3 linked regions of the Solanum lycopersicum genome follow. The protein of the gene in region 1 binds, or shares a complex with, the protein of each later gene. Links are inferred from orthologs where the notes say so. Each region holds a gene or a part of one and is shown on either strand. Other genes may lie near its edges. The genes, in order: eukaryotic translation initiation factor 3 subunit A-like, eukaryotic translation initiation factor 3 subunit K and eukaryotic translation initiation factor 3 subunit E.

The links.
Region 2: eukaryotic translation initiation factor 3 subunit A-like (region 1) and eukaryotic translation initiation factor 3 subunit K share a complex: the UniProt entries of both Arabidopsis thaliana proteins name them as parts of the eukaryotic translation initiation factor 3 (eIF-3) complex. The link is inferred for Solanum lycopersicum from reciprocal best matches to the Arabidopsis thaliana genes EIF3A and EIF3K.
Region 3: eukaryotic translation initiation factor 3 subunit A-like (region 1) and eukaryotic translation initiation factor 3 subunit E share a complex: the UniProt entries of both Arabidopsis thaliana proteins name them as parts of the eukaryotic translation initiation factor 3 (eIF-3) complex. The link is inferred for Solanum lycopersicum from reciprocal best matches to the Arabidopsis thaliana genes EIF3A and EIF3E.

What each region holds. Positions count from the first base shown.
Region 1 is NC_090809.1:63,308,250-63,310,940, forward strand, and holds the end of eukaryotic translation initiation factor 3 subunit A-like, read left to right. Parts: coding exon 1-175; intron 176-256; coding exon 257-463; intron 464-618; coding exon 619-699; intron 700-947; coding exon 948-1,149; intron 1,150-1,514; coding exon 1,515-1,897; 3' UTR 1,898-2,137; downstream 2,138-2,691. UniProt on the Arabidopsis thaliana protein: RNA-binding component of the eukaryotic translation initiation factor 3 (eIF-3) complex, which is involved in protein synthesis of a specialized repertoire of mRNAs and, together with other initiation factors, stimulates binding of mRNA and methionyl-tRNAi to the 40S ribosome.
Region 2 is NC_090806.1:58,133,010-58,137,417, forward strand, and holds the start of eukaryotic translation initiation factor 3 subunit K, read left to right. Parts: upstream 1-1,549; 5' UTR 1,550-1,850; coding exon 1,851-1,979; intron 1,980-2,111; coding exon 2,112-2,168; intron 2,169-2,254; coding exon 2,255-2,305; intron 2,306-2,394; coding exon 2,395-2,457; intron 2,458-3,667; coding exon 3,668-3,718; intron 3,719-3,794; coding exon 3,795-3,861; intron 3,862-4,408. UniProt on the Arabidopsis thaliana protein: Component of the eukaryotic translation initiation factor 3 (eIF-3) complex, which is involved in protein synthesis of a specialized repertoire of mRNAs and, together with other initiation factors, stimulates binding of mRNA and methionyl-tRNAi to the 40S ribosome.
Region 3 is NC_090809.1:60,505,798-60,510,038, forward strand, and holds the start of eukaryotic translation initiation factor 3 subunit E, read right to left. Parts: upstream 2,827-4,241; 5' UTR 2,677-2,826; coding exon 2,466-2,676; intron 1,414-2,465; coding exon 1,259-1,413; intron 1,088-1,258; coding exon 860-1,087; intron 729-859; coding exon 607-728; intron 149-606; coding exon 1-148. Other genes in the region: calcium-binding protein CBP, read right to left, coding at 4,162-4,241. UniProt on the Arabidopsis thaliana protein: Component of the eukaryotic translation initiation factor 3 (eIF-3) complex, which is involved in protein synthesis of a specialized repertoire of mRNAs and, together with other initiation factors, stimulates binding of mRNA and methionyl-tRNAi to the 40S ribosome.

The sequences.
Region 1 (2,691 bases):
ACATCAGAAGATGACAGAAGAGGCCGAGCAAAAAAGGGTTTCTGCTGAGCTAGAGCAAAGAAGGAACCAAAGGATTCTGAAAGAGATAGAGGACAGAGAACTCGAAGAGGCCCAAGCAATGCTGCAAGAAGCTGAAAAGCGCAGCAAGAGGAAGAAGAAACCAGTCTTAGATGGAGTACATACAAAATTTGGACCTTTTTTGGTTTATTTATTCAGATCTCTATAGAAATTCTTACTAATGTTAACCTAAGTGCAGGAAAAGATGACCAAAAAGGATATCATGGAGTTGGCATTACATGAGCAACTCAGGGAGAGGCAGGAAATGGAGAAAAAATGGCAGAAGTTTGCCAAAGTAATGGATTATTTGGAGAGAGCGAAGAGAGAAGAAGCAGCGCCTCTTATTGAATCTGCATTTCAACGGCATTTAGCTGAAGAGGCTACTCTTCATGAACGTGAGCAGCAGGTATGCATAGAATTAGCATTTGTTTTGCCTAACCACCATTAACAACCTATTGTTTGACATTTTCCTTGAATTCTTTCTGAAGGAACTAAATTTTGGTATTTCTTTTTGGTCAAATGTTGTTGATTAATGGATCTGGATTTACAACAATCTTGCAGCAAGAAATTGAATTGAGCAGACAACGACATGGTGGGGACCTTGTAGAGAAGAGTAGGCTGGGCCGCATGTTGGAGAATAAGGTCTCTTAATCTTAATTTTTTTTATTTGGTTGCATTATGTATTTGTGTCTTAGGACTATGTATTTGAGCTTATGGTTGTAAAGGGGCACTGCCTTTGATATTTGCTTCAACTAACTGAATTCTGTTATGCCACTGGCCTTTGGGAACCAAAGCTCACGGTTGTTGTTGGAAAAAGGTCTTTTGACATATTTTACACTTTGAATATGCTAGCGTTACACCATCAGCTGATATAGGCACTGATTTTGCAGAGAATATTCCAAGAAAGAGTTGTTAGCTGCAGGGAAGCCAAACTCAATAGCAAGAAACAGGAGAGACAAGAACAAATAAACCGGATAATTCAGACAAGGAAACAGGACAGGGACACTAGGAGGAAGCTGCTATTCTTTCTGCGAAAAGAGGAAGAACAACAGAAGAGGTTGCAGGAAGAGGAGGATGCGCGGAAACATGAAGGTATCCTTCTGGTTAAAGATGCATTTTACGCACTGCATTTCGATTTTCAATGAAGTGCGTTTCACCAAGACGTTTATGCTTCTGATAACATTTTAGCAGAGCATCATTTAATTGTCGTTGCTTATTTAAACCTGACCTTTTCGAGGTTATGCATACCGTCTGTAATGTACTCTCACCTTCGCAAGTCCTTTCATGCATGCGTCGTTGTCTGGTTTATAATCCTCAAGTGTTTAGGAGCTACACTGACCCCTCTCAAGTTCTTTTTATCCTTCACCAATCTACCCTTTTTCTTTTGGGGTTGTGGTTTTGAGTTGTCATTTATTGTCCATTTAGAATCCTATGACAATGCATTGAGAATTTTGCAGAGGCAGAGAAGCGAAAAAGAGAGGAAGCTGATCGGAAGTCCAAGTTAGATGCTATTGCAGAAAAGCAGAGGCAACGAGAGCTAGAACTTGAAGAGAAGAAAAGGCTGGAGAGAGAGGTGGTCTTGGGGAAATCCATGCCTATGTCACTTGAGCCTTCAACTATAGGTCGTCCCTCAGAAGCTGGAGCAACTGCACCTGCAGCAACAGCAGCTGCACCTACTCCCGGTAAGTTTGTGCCCAGGTTCAGAAGAGAGAAAATTGACGTAGCAGGCCAGTCTCCACCTCCCGAGACTGATCGGTGGAGCAGTGGTGGCAGGCGTGATGAACGAAACTCGTTTGGTGGTGGTTCAAGGACCAGTTGGTCATCCTCTAGGCGCAACTAATTGCAGTGAATCAGAGGCAGTAAATCAAGCCGTTTGCATAGTCGGGACACTTTTTTTACAAAATTTCAATTTTGGCTGTTAGTTATTGAAAACTTCTCTTTGTGTATCGGAAACAACCTCTCTGTCTTCTCAAGTTAGGGGAAGAGGTTTACGTACACCAACCTGTGGAATTACACTAATTTAGTCATTGAAATATTTGTTTTTTGGAAAATTTTCAAAATAACAATCTTTTAGTTTTTAGTGTGACTTCTTATTCATAGTTTCATTATTTATTAAAAATGTCATTATTTTAGTTTGTTAAAGAATTAATTATGTATTTATTATTATTCTGAAAAGAATATAAATAATTAGTTACAGAACATAGAAAATTATGGAACAAAAAAATTAAAAAAAGATTTTAATTTAATATAATACAATTAATTAATAACAAAATAGAGAAGATCAAGGAAAATAATATTTCAAATAAACTAATTTTTGAATTTAGACCAACAAAGTTACGTTACCATAATTATTAACTTTCCTATTATACGTGTTTGGTTCCACAATCGACATGATTTTTTTCCCTCTTATTCCTCAAATTTACAATACTAATTTTTAACACTTCATTGAAAATACTAAATCTATGTAGAATTGAAGTCGATTGATTTAAGATTTTTGCGAACAGTGAAGAAGATTTTACAATGAAAAAAATAAAAAATAAATACAAAATTTGTTGGCAAACAAAGTGAGCATAAAAAATCTAAAACTTGTTAACATACATTTAAAATTGTTATAGAATAAGAGTCTGTTTGGAT
Region 2 (4,408 bases), on another chromosome or scaffold:
CTTTGTAATAAGAAATTATGCATGTCCTACTCTGATTGTCTATTTTTCATTTCTTTTCTAGAGTACATAACTTTAACTCTATTCAATTGTATGTTTGCAACTATGATTACTTTAATGATTGAATTTGATATAGTCACATTTAATTATAGAAAGTATGTTCCTCATTTTGGTATATTTGGTTACTATAAAATCATAACTTTTGGGATTCTCAATCTGCACAAACTCAGTTAGTATGAAGATCTTGTTATAAGAAGTTGGGGATACAAAAGTAACGGAGATGGTACTCAATCTTTTAACTTTTTTGGATGCCTCAGGGATTTAGATTTTACGTTAAGTTGATATGGCACATTTAATTAGATATGTTGTGTTACACTTTGTCTAAGTAAATATTTATTATTAACATAACTTCACCATAAAACTATCGCCTTTGGCTGTAAATTTGTGAAATTAATGTAGTATATTATGTCTCAGTTGTTTGTTGTAGTATCTCTCTTACTTTCTTGCCAATATCTCTATCATTTATTTTTAGGTACTTTGACATCTTGCAATTTCATAAATGTTGTGACTGGATAAGCTTGCGTGGATTCCAATTGTACCATGTTGTTCTAGACTAAGATACCATCATCTTGTAACTAAAAACTCCTAACACTCTTTGACTTTTTGGGTTTTATTATCACTACTACTGCAACAACTTTTGAATCAGTGCATCTGCACGACATGTTTGTGTCTATTGTAAATATTGTGAACCTTATATATAGTAGTGTGACATCAAGCTTGTATTTAAGTAGTCTTGTGCTCAATAATTTGTTCAAGATTCTTGGTAAACTCCAATTTCAGTGGCTTTCGTCATTTCTTTCCTCTGGCCTTTTTCTAAAGGAATTAGATTATCAATTTCCTTAAGTTATATTGTTTGTCACCAAGCAATGTTAACGTGGTACAATACTAGATATTTATTATATTTATCTCTTATAGGCACCAATCATTTTTTTTTGTTCGTTTTTATCTTCTCTATTTTTCATATTTATTAATTTACTTTTACAAATAAAATCAATGCATAATTAATAATATATTACTTATTTATATTATTTATAACTCATATTTTTTCATCTTGCTTCTAATTTCCACTCTTCAATATTTTTCATAACTTCTTATGTTTTATTTCACAATATTTAATTAATGTTTTAAAAATTATTATAAATAATTTTAATAATAAAGATACAATGAAGAAATTCATTTATTTTTTTACGAAGTTAGAATTTGTATATAGAATCAGGTAATCTCGTCCCTACGAGGACATCCGATAAAAAAATCAAGTGATCCCATAAAAAATATAAATAATATTCAAATATAAAAAATATTTTGATGTAGCATAAAATATTATTATTTTAAGATATGACCTCTTATTCATTTGCTTTATCACAATAAACATTTTATCTTACTATATATGTATGAATATTTGTACTTAAAAAGATGAAAATAATAATATTCTTTTATATATATCCCGCACTAACATAAAAATATAAATATTTTTAATACTCAATTAAAACAAGATTGTTCATTAAATTATTATATGAACATATAATTATGCGAAGAGCGAACAATTTCACTTATGAAATATAATAATGTCAGAAAAAAATTTCAATTTAAATCAATCTAATTTCAAATCATATTCAAGGATTGAGAGAAATTTGAAGGGTATATCCGTCACAAACAAATAATCCCTCCCGTATCTCTTACTCTCGCCCTCTTAACCCTAAAACCTCCGTTCAGCTGTACTGCAAGTGCAACCCCTTTTGGCTCCTCTCTTCACCTTCCAATTTGTTCGAAAGCAGTCAGATACAGTTTACAAAATGGTTCAAGAGGCGACTAATGGTGGTTCCGAGAAGTCACAGTTGGCTATCACTGTAGAACAGCTCATTGCCGTTAACCCTTACAATCCAGATATCCTCCCTGATCTTGAAAACTATGTCAACGAACAGGTACACCAATTCACCATCGTTCATCACTCCAAAAATTAATCTTTTTGTAATGGGTTGCCAACCCCTTTTCAGATTTTTGTTTCTGCTGAATTTTCCGTTGTTATTGATTGAGTAATCCCAATGTTAATTTAGGTTTTGTCTCAAACATACAATCTGGATGCAAACCTTTGCCTGCTCCGTCTTTATCAGGTTTATATCGTTATTTTGAGAATTAATCATGGAGGTTTGTTTGTTGTTTGATTTTGTTTTTTTTTTATTTGTTTGGATGTGTGCAGTTTGAGCCGGACAGAATGAGTACACCAATTGTTGCTCGTATTTTGGTTAAGGTGCAATCAAGTTCTTGTTTTGCATACTGTGATATTACTTGTTGCCTCTGTTATTATCTAACTTATTATTTGCTTGGTTGTATTGATAGGCCTTAATGGCAATGCCAGCTCCAGATTACAGCCTGTGTCTCTTCCTAATCCCCGAACGAGTGGTATATATCTCTGAAGCTGCCTTGATTATGACTTTACCTTTGATGAATATGAATTGTAAATTTTGCTAGTCTTGTGTACTCTGCTGGAAAACATAAAAACTGTCACAGCCAAAGATGTAGGTAGATTTGTTACTACCCCTATTTGTGACCAGGAATATTAGCTATTCTCAGTCATGCCTAACACAGCTTGACAGTTGTTTCATGGCTTGTGTAAAATGAAAAAGGAAGGCAGTTGATCAGATGACATAATTCTACTATAAAAATACCCCAAAAGATCTTCCTATATTTCTAAATTTTTGAATACTCATTTGTCATCTCCTGCTGTGTATCCAACTAGATTGGAGGTACATCATTTTATTTTATAGCTGGCAGTTTGGGAAGGTTGCTTTGTTGGTTCAGAAATGTCCTCGTGCTAAGTTTTGAGGAAATTAGATAAACAGGAAAGTCTGAAACAAATAAATAGATACATAGTGATGTACGATATTTGGTGTTGCTCTATATATAAACCGATATCTGCAACATAAAGGTTGTAAAACTGAGCAACAACAACATACCCCAGTGTAGTTCCACAAGTGGGGTCTGGGGAGGGTAGGATGTACACAAACCCTTACCCCTACCTTTGTGGGGTAGAGAGGTTGTTTCCCAGAAGTTCTTCATTTCCTTATGTTGGTATTCTTTAATTTCTTAGCTAGTATAGTTTCATATTTGTTAATGAAATGCATCCTATGATGTACACAACCTTACCCCCCACTTTTGTGGGGTAGAGAGGTTGTTTCCCCGTAAGTTCTCCATTTTCTTGTATTGGTGTTCTTAAATTTCTTAGCTAGTATAGTTTCCTATTTGTTAATTAAATTCATCCAAAGGGATATTGAGGAGGGTGAGGATATACATAGCTGGCCCAAACAAGATTGGGATTGAGGAACAGTTAAGGTTGTTTCCTAGAAGTTCTTCATTTCCTTTTGAGGGGCACTTTCATGTACACTCTTTTTGCTGCAACCCCCATAGACATCTATTTATTGTTGCTCAACTTTGCAAACACTTTTCGCCTTAATTTTCTTTACTGTTTCACTGGGGTTGTGGTCATTGTGGTGATTTTTTTGGGAGCAAGGCAGAATGCATGCTTTGACATCTACATATGAATCTTCAACTGTGTTAGATGCATTGCCCTATCCTTTTTTCTTCATAATGATTTTCTCATTTCATTCCTCAGCAAATTGAAGAGCAATTCAAGACACTAAATGTTCTGTCACACTTCTTAGAGGTATGCCATGTTGTGTTTGCTGAAAGTTTCTTCCAACTCTGTAGTTAACCCAACAAGTACACACATCTTTTTGCAGACTGCAAGGTTCCGCCAATTTTGGGATGAAGCTGCAAAGAGCCGCCACATTGTGGAAGCTGTTTCTGGTATTACTGAATGCTTTAATCCACCCCTCATCCACAGTGTTCAATAGTAGCAATACGGATGCAATAAGAAACCTATTTGTTATACGTAATAAGTGTCAGATTTTGCGGCAACATGCTTAAAACTGTGGAGAGAGAGACATTTTATGAAGTGATTGAGTTTCAAATCATTTCCTTGACCCTATTTATTCCAACTATTAGTAGTAAAAATTTTGTTTCAGATATAACCCATCAATATTCTTGAGTTTTTGACTACCCAAAAAAAATTCCTAGAGTGTTTCTTGTTGACAATTACACTTGGCCCCACCTATTTACAACAAAATGAATGAAGCACAGAATATAACATTCTAAACCCCTCATATTAACCACATAATCTAGGTATTATCTCCATATACTTGATCCTCTCCTTGCCCAAAATGAATGAAGTACAGCGTATAATATTTATAACCCCTCATATTAACCACATGATCTGGATATTATCTCCATATAGTGTTAATCCTCCCCTTGCCCACAATGTGCAATAGCAGTTTTGATACAATGAGAGAACCTA
Region 3 (4,241 bases), about 2.8 Mb from region 1:
TGTGATGGGATCTTTACAAGAGTGTTGCTCCTGCTGAATAACCTTTATAAAGTCCTTAAATTGAGGTCTTCTTCTTTTGTTGACAATAAATGCAATAGCCAAGTACCGCAGCAAGTGGGGAGCACTTGTTTGAATGGCATTCAAGTATCTGCAAGACTTCAATGATTTAGAAAAGCTCAAAGGGAAGATGTAAATCCATAGAATACCAACAAAAGGAAAAATAACAGCTACTTTAATCGAGACATATCAAGAAGAATACTGTCTTAATGTATGTTACCACAAAAGAAGAGCAATATTTATTTCAAACATTTTGGAATAAGAAAACTATATTTCAAACATAATTCTGCTGTATGCAAATAAGAAATACAGTGTGTTCCTGACCCTCCAGATCATGTTTCATTCTAATTCATCTAGTTTTCTCCATTTTCCCACTAAGGGAAAGAACTAGGTAATCGGAGCTTCCTAAAATATTTCTCTACATCATACTCGGTAGGTGATAGTATCAGAAAAAATGCCTAGCTCAAACAGGATGGGGAAATCTAAAATGAAGCAGCAAATGAAAACAATCATCTATAAGCAATAGCAACTAAAGTACAGTTGGCATACTTGTCCTGGTTAAACAGGTCAATGATCAGTGTCCTGCCATTGTCATGGTTGAAGAAGATGAATAGACTCCAATGCATTAGCCATATTCTATTCTGAACTTGATTCAACGGAGTAGAGAAACTCTGCAAGACAAGCGACACTTTTAGTACACTTGGTAAACTGAGGATCATTCAGTTTTTTCCTACAGGATACTCAACTTGGTAAGACTAACTCAAACAGACAGATTGTTGACTCAATATATGCAAAATATTACCTTTGAGTCGATAATTTCTTTCAAGCGGTTGAGTTCCTCGAGTGCAATATCCCAATTCTGCATTAGTATCTCCGCTGCAAGCTTTCCCCACAATGCACTGACGCTCCTGTCACTGTTTGTGCACAATGCTCGGTACTGGTAAAGATAATCAGCAGCACCAGAATAGTTTCCACATTCAAACTGAAATTTGGCATATTGATACAATGCCTCTATCTGGTCCGGACCAATCTGGACAGGTTTGTAAGAGCATTACTAAAATAAAAAATGTATATTCACAAAATTAGCTAGAGACCAACTTCTGTTTGTGATCCCTTTAACAAGTATATTATTAATTATACAACATTAAGTACTAAAGAAGAAGGAACTCTATATCATGTAAATCAAACTAGATCTATGCACCTGGTACCGCTCCTGGAGCAACTGAAGATTGTGCTGTTTGTCAGCTCTCAACTCCTGCACAGCACTGGAATTCTGCAAAAAAGTGATCAATGGGGCTGCAGCTTCCTCAAGTGCTTTCAACCTTGCCACAACCTCGGCTCTCCTCTCCATCATTTCTGAACAATCAAACGGCAATTATAAAGACAGTGCAGAATTTAAACATGTAAAGGAACTCCCAAAATCACTTCTGCTCAAACTAAACTTTTTTAATAACAGAGGAATCCCTGAGGGCAAGTCGCAAATGGTTAGACTCTGTACCGACACGTATGTGTACCAACAGTTTATCTTATCTAAGTACACCAAGAAGGTTTTAATCTACATACATTGCATGCATTTACTGTAAAGCTCAAACAGAAAATCCAGACAACAACGTCAAAATTGCCTCCCATATCAAATCTCTATCTGATCACAACTATACAGATTCCTCAAGGGACAACTCCAAAGAAAACCTACGGAGACTGCCCCAACAGAATTACAATACCCCCACAAGAAAACAACTTCTATGCTAAAAAGGGCACTGCTAAGTCACCAGATTTTTTTACTCTTATACATCAACTATACAGATTATCCCCTTCGAATAAATTTTAAACAACTTCTACAGACCAGAACCATCAAAATTACAACTACCACCATATCACCACCCCAAAAAAGAACACCTTTTGTTAAAAGTGCAAAAGCATTAAGTGAAGCAACAAATAAATAAGCATTCACCAATACGTGGACCAATATGTAAACATACACCAATATGAAGGGAAACAGGAGACACCTGAAGGACAACTTCTACAACTTCTATAGAGACCATATCCATTAAAACTAACAACCCCACACCACACACGAAAACCTTCATGCTGAAAAGGGCACAAGGTATTTCGATCAGTAAGGGCACAAATCAACGGGCATTCATACCAAAGGGAAAGAAAGAGAAACCTTGACGTACAACCCCACCCCACACAACACACAAATCAATGCGTATTCACTACTACAAAGGGGGGAAAGAGATAACCTTGAGGAACAGCACATAGACAACTTGTATAAACAATATCCATAAAATTCACAACCCCACCCCCCCAAAAAAAAACCCCTTTTGCTAAAAAAAAAAAGCACAAGTATTAAGATTAATAAACAAAAAAATCAATTGGAAACACGAAGCGAAAAAATTAAATGATACCTTGAGGCACATCGTCAGTATGATAGAGAGACTTATGAATATCCATAGCATAATCAACCATGTTAGTGTGATTAAGCAGCTCAATCTTCGCCTTGAGTATATATTCATCTGGGTATAATCCCTGCTCTTGCAAAAACTCCAGTAACGGGAAAATCAAGTGAATGTCCAATTGCTGCGCTACACGTGGCGTCAAATCGTACTTCGACGCCATGATTGCTACTGTCGGTAAGAGATAGCAACCACAAAACTCGCCGCCGTGCAGAACCAGAGAAACTGAAAAGATGAGAAGTGGATCGGTAGAAGAAAGATTTCTAGGGTTTCGTCTTTTTTGCTGTAAGGAATAAATAATGTTGAAACTCCCCCTTGGGTTTTAAATATTGTTACCTTTAACCCCATCTTCAATACAACTACTTTTTCTTTTTCTTTTTTTTTTGTTTTGGTTTTGATTTTTACGATAGAAAATAATTTGTTTGATTGAATTTTTAAAAAAATCCAAAAGTGTTGATTTCTAAAAACAATAAGGTAAAAGTATTATCATAATAATATTGTTAAATATTACGCTAACTATTATCAATAATTATTAATTTTTATAATCGATCCACTATCGAACGATGACCATCAAATTATTTCTACTATCGAATAATCTTAGTATCTCTAATTGCAACCTCCTTCAACCATTATTTATTATACTATGTCACTAACCATCTTCAATAACAATATACGTCATTTTTTTACTAATATCGTCAATTATTACCTTCATTTTTAACAATTATAATCAATCACTTATAGTCATCACTTCACGATTATCATTACTAACTATCACCATCTTTGTTTGACCCTGTGAACGTGCTTCATCAAAACAATTTCACTCGAATATGTTAATTTTATAATATTCGATTATCATTTTTTGAACTCTATATACTACTCCTAGGAGTAGTTTTAAAATAAAGATGAGTTCCATATATTCACATGCTATAGTAAAAAGAATAAACAACTTATCTTAAATTATTTTTTTGGGCAACTGAATGCATTTTATTACCAAAGTGGCAAAATATGGCTAAAAAAAACACCAGAGCATATTCCAACTAATGATCGTTATATGTTCCTAAAGTCTTTAACGATATTAATTTTAATGACACTTATCTAATGCCCATGTGACTTTAACACTCTTTATTAATGTCAATATTTTATCCCGCTAAAAATTATTTTCATTAAAGATCACTATGCATAAATTTGATAAGAGGTCTAATAGTATTATCATTCTTGTCGTTCTTGTTTTTAATTCATAGGGCTACATTATTCTGAAAAGTCTTGTAATTCAATACCAAATAAACTCCATATGAATAAAGCACAACCCTTTATTAACCTTAAAATAAAGATAAAAGTAGACTTTTGGGCTCCTTGAAATAGATTTGTTTATATTTTATTTTCTAAAATAAGCCGAACCAAATACTCTTTAAAGTAGTCATGATCGAATAGTAAACACATCAAAAGAAACACAAAGGATTTAGTTTTGATAGCCCATTAACTGCTCTACAACACACTAGACTTCTACAAGCAAGTAATTCAACTTCACCCTGGAAACTGTTTACAAAAACTAACAGAAGCAAACATCTCTCTACTGAAAACAAACGAAAACGAAGCTGGTAAATCATAGTAAGACCACCCGTAATTGTGAAATTCATATGCCTCGTCTCTAAGCAATCAGGAAAGGCAAAACTGTTAGCATGAACGACTCATAAGTGAACGTAGCAGAGCCAGAATATGAAGTATCCT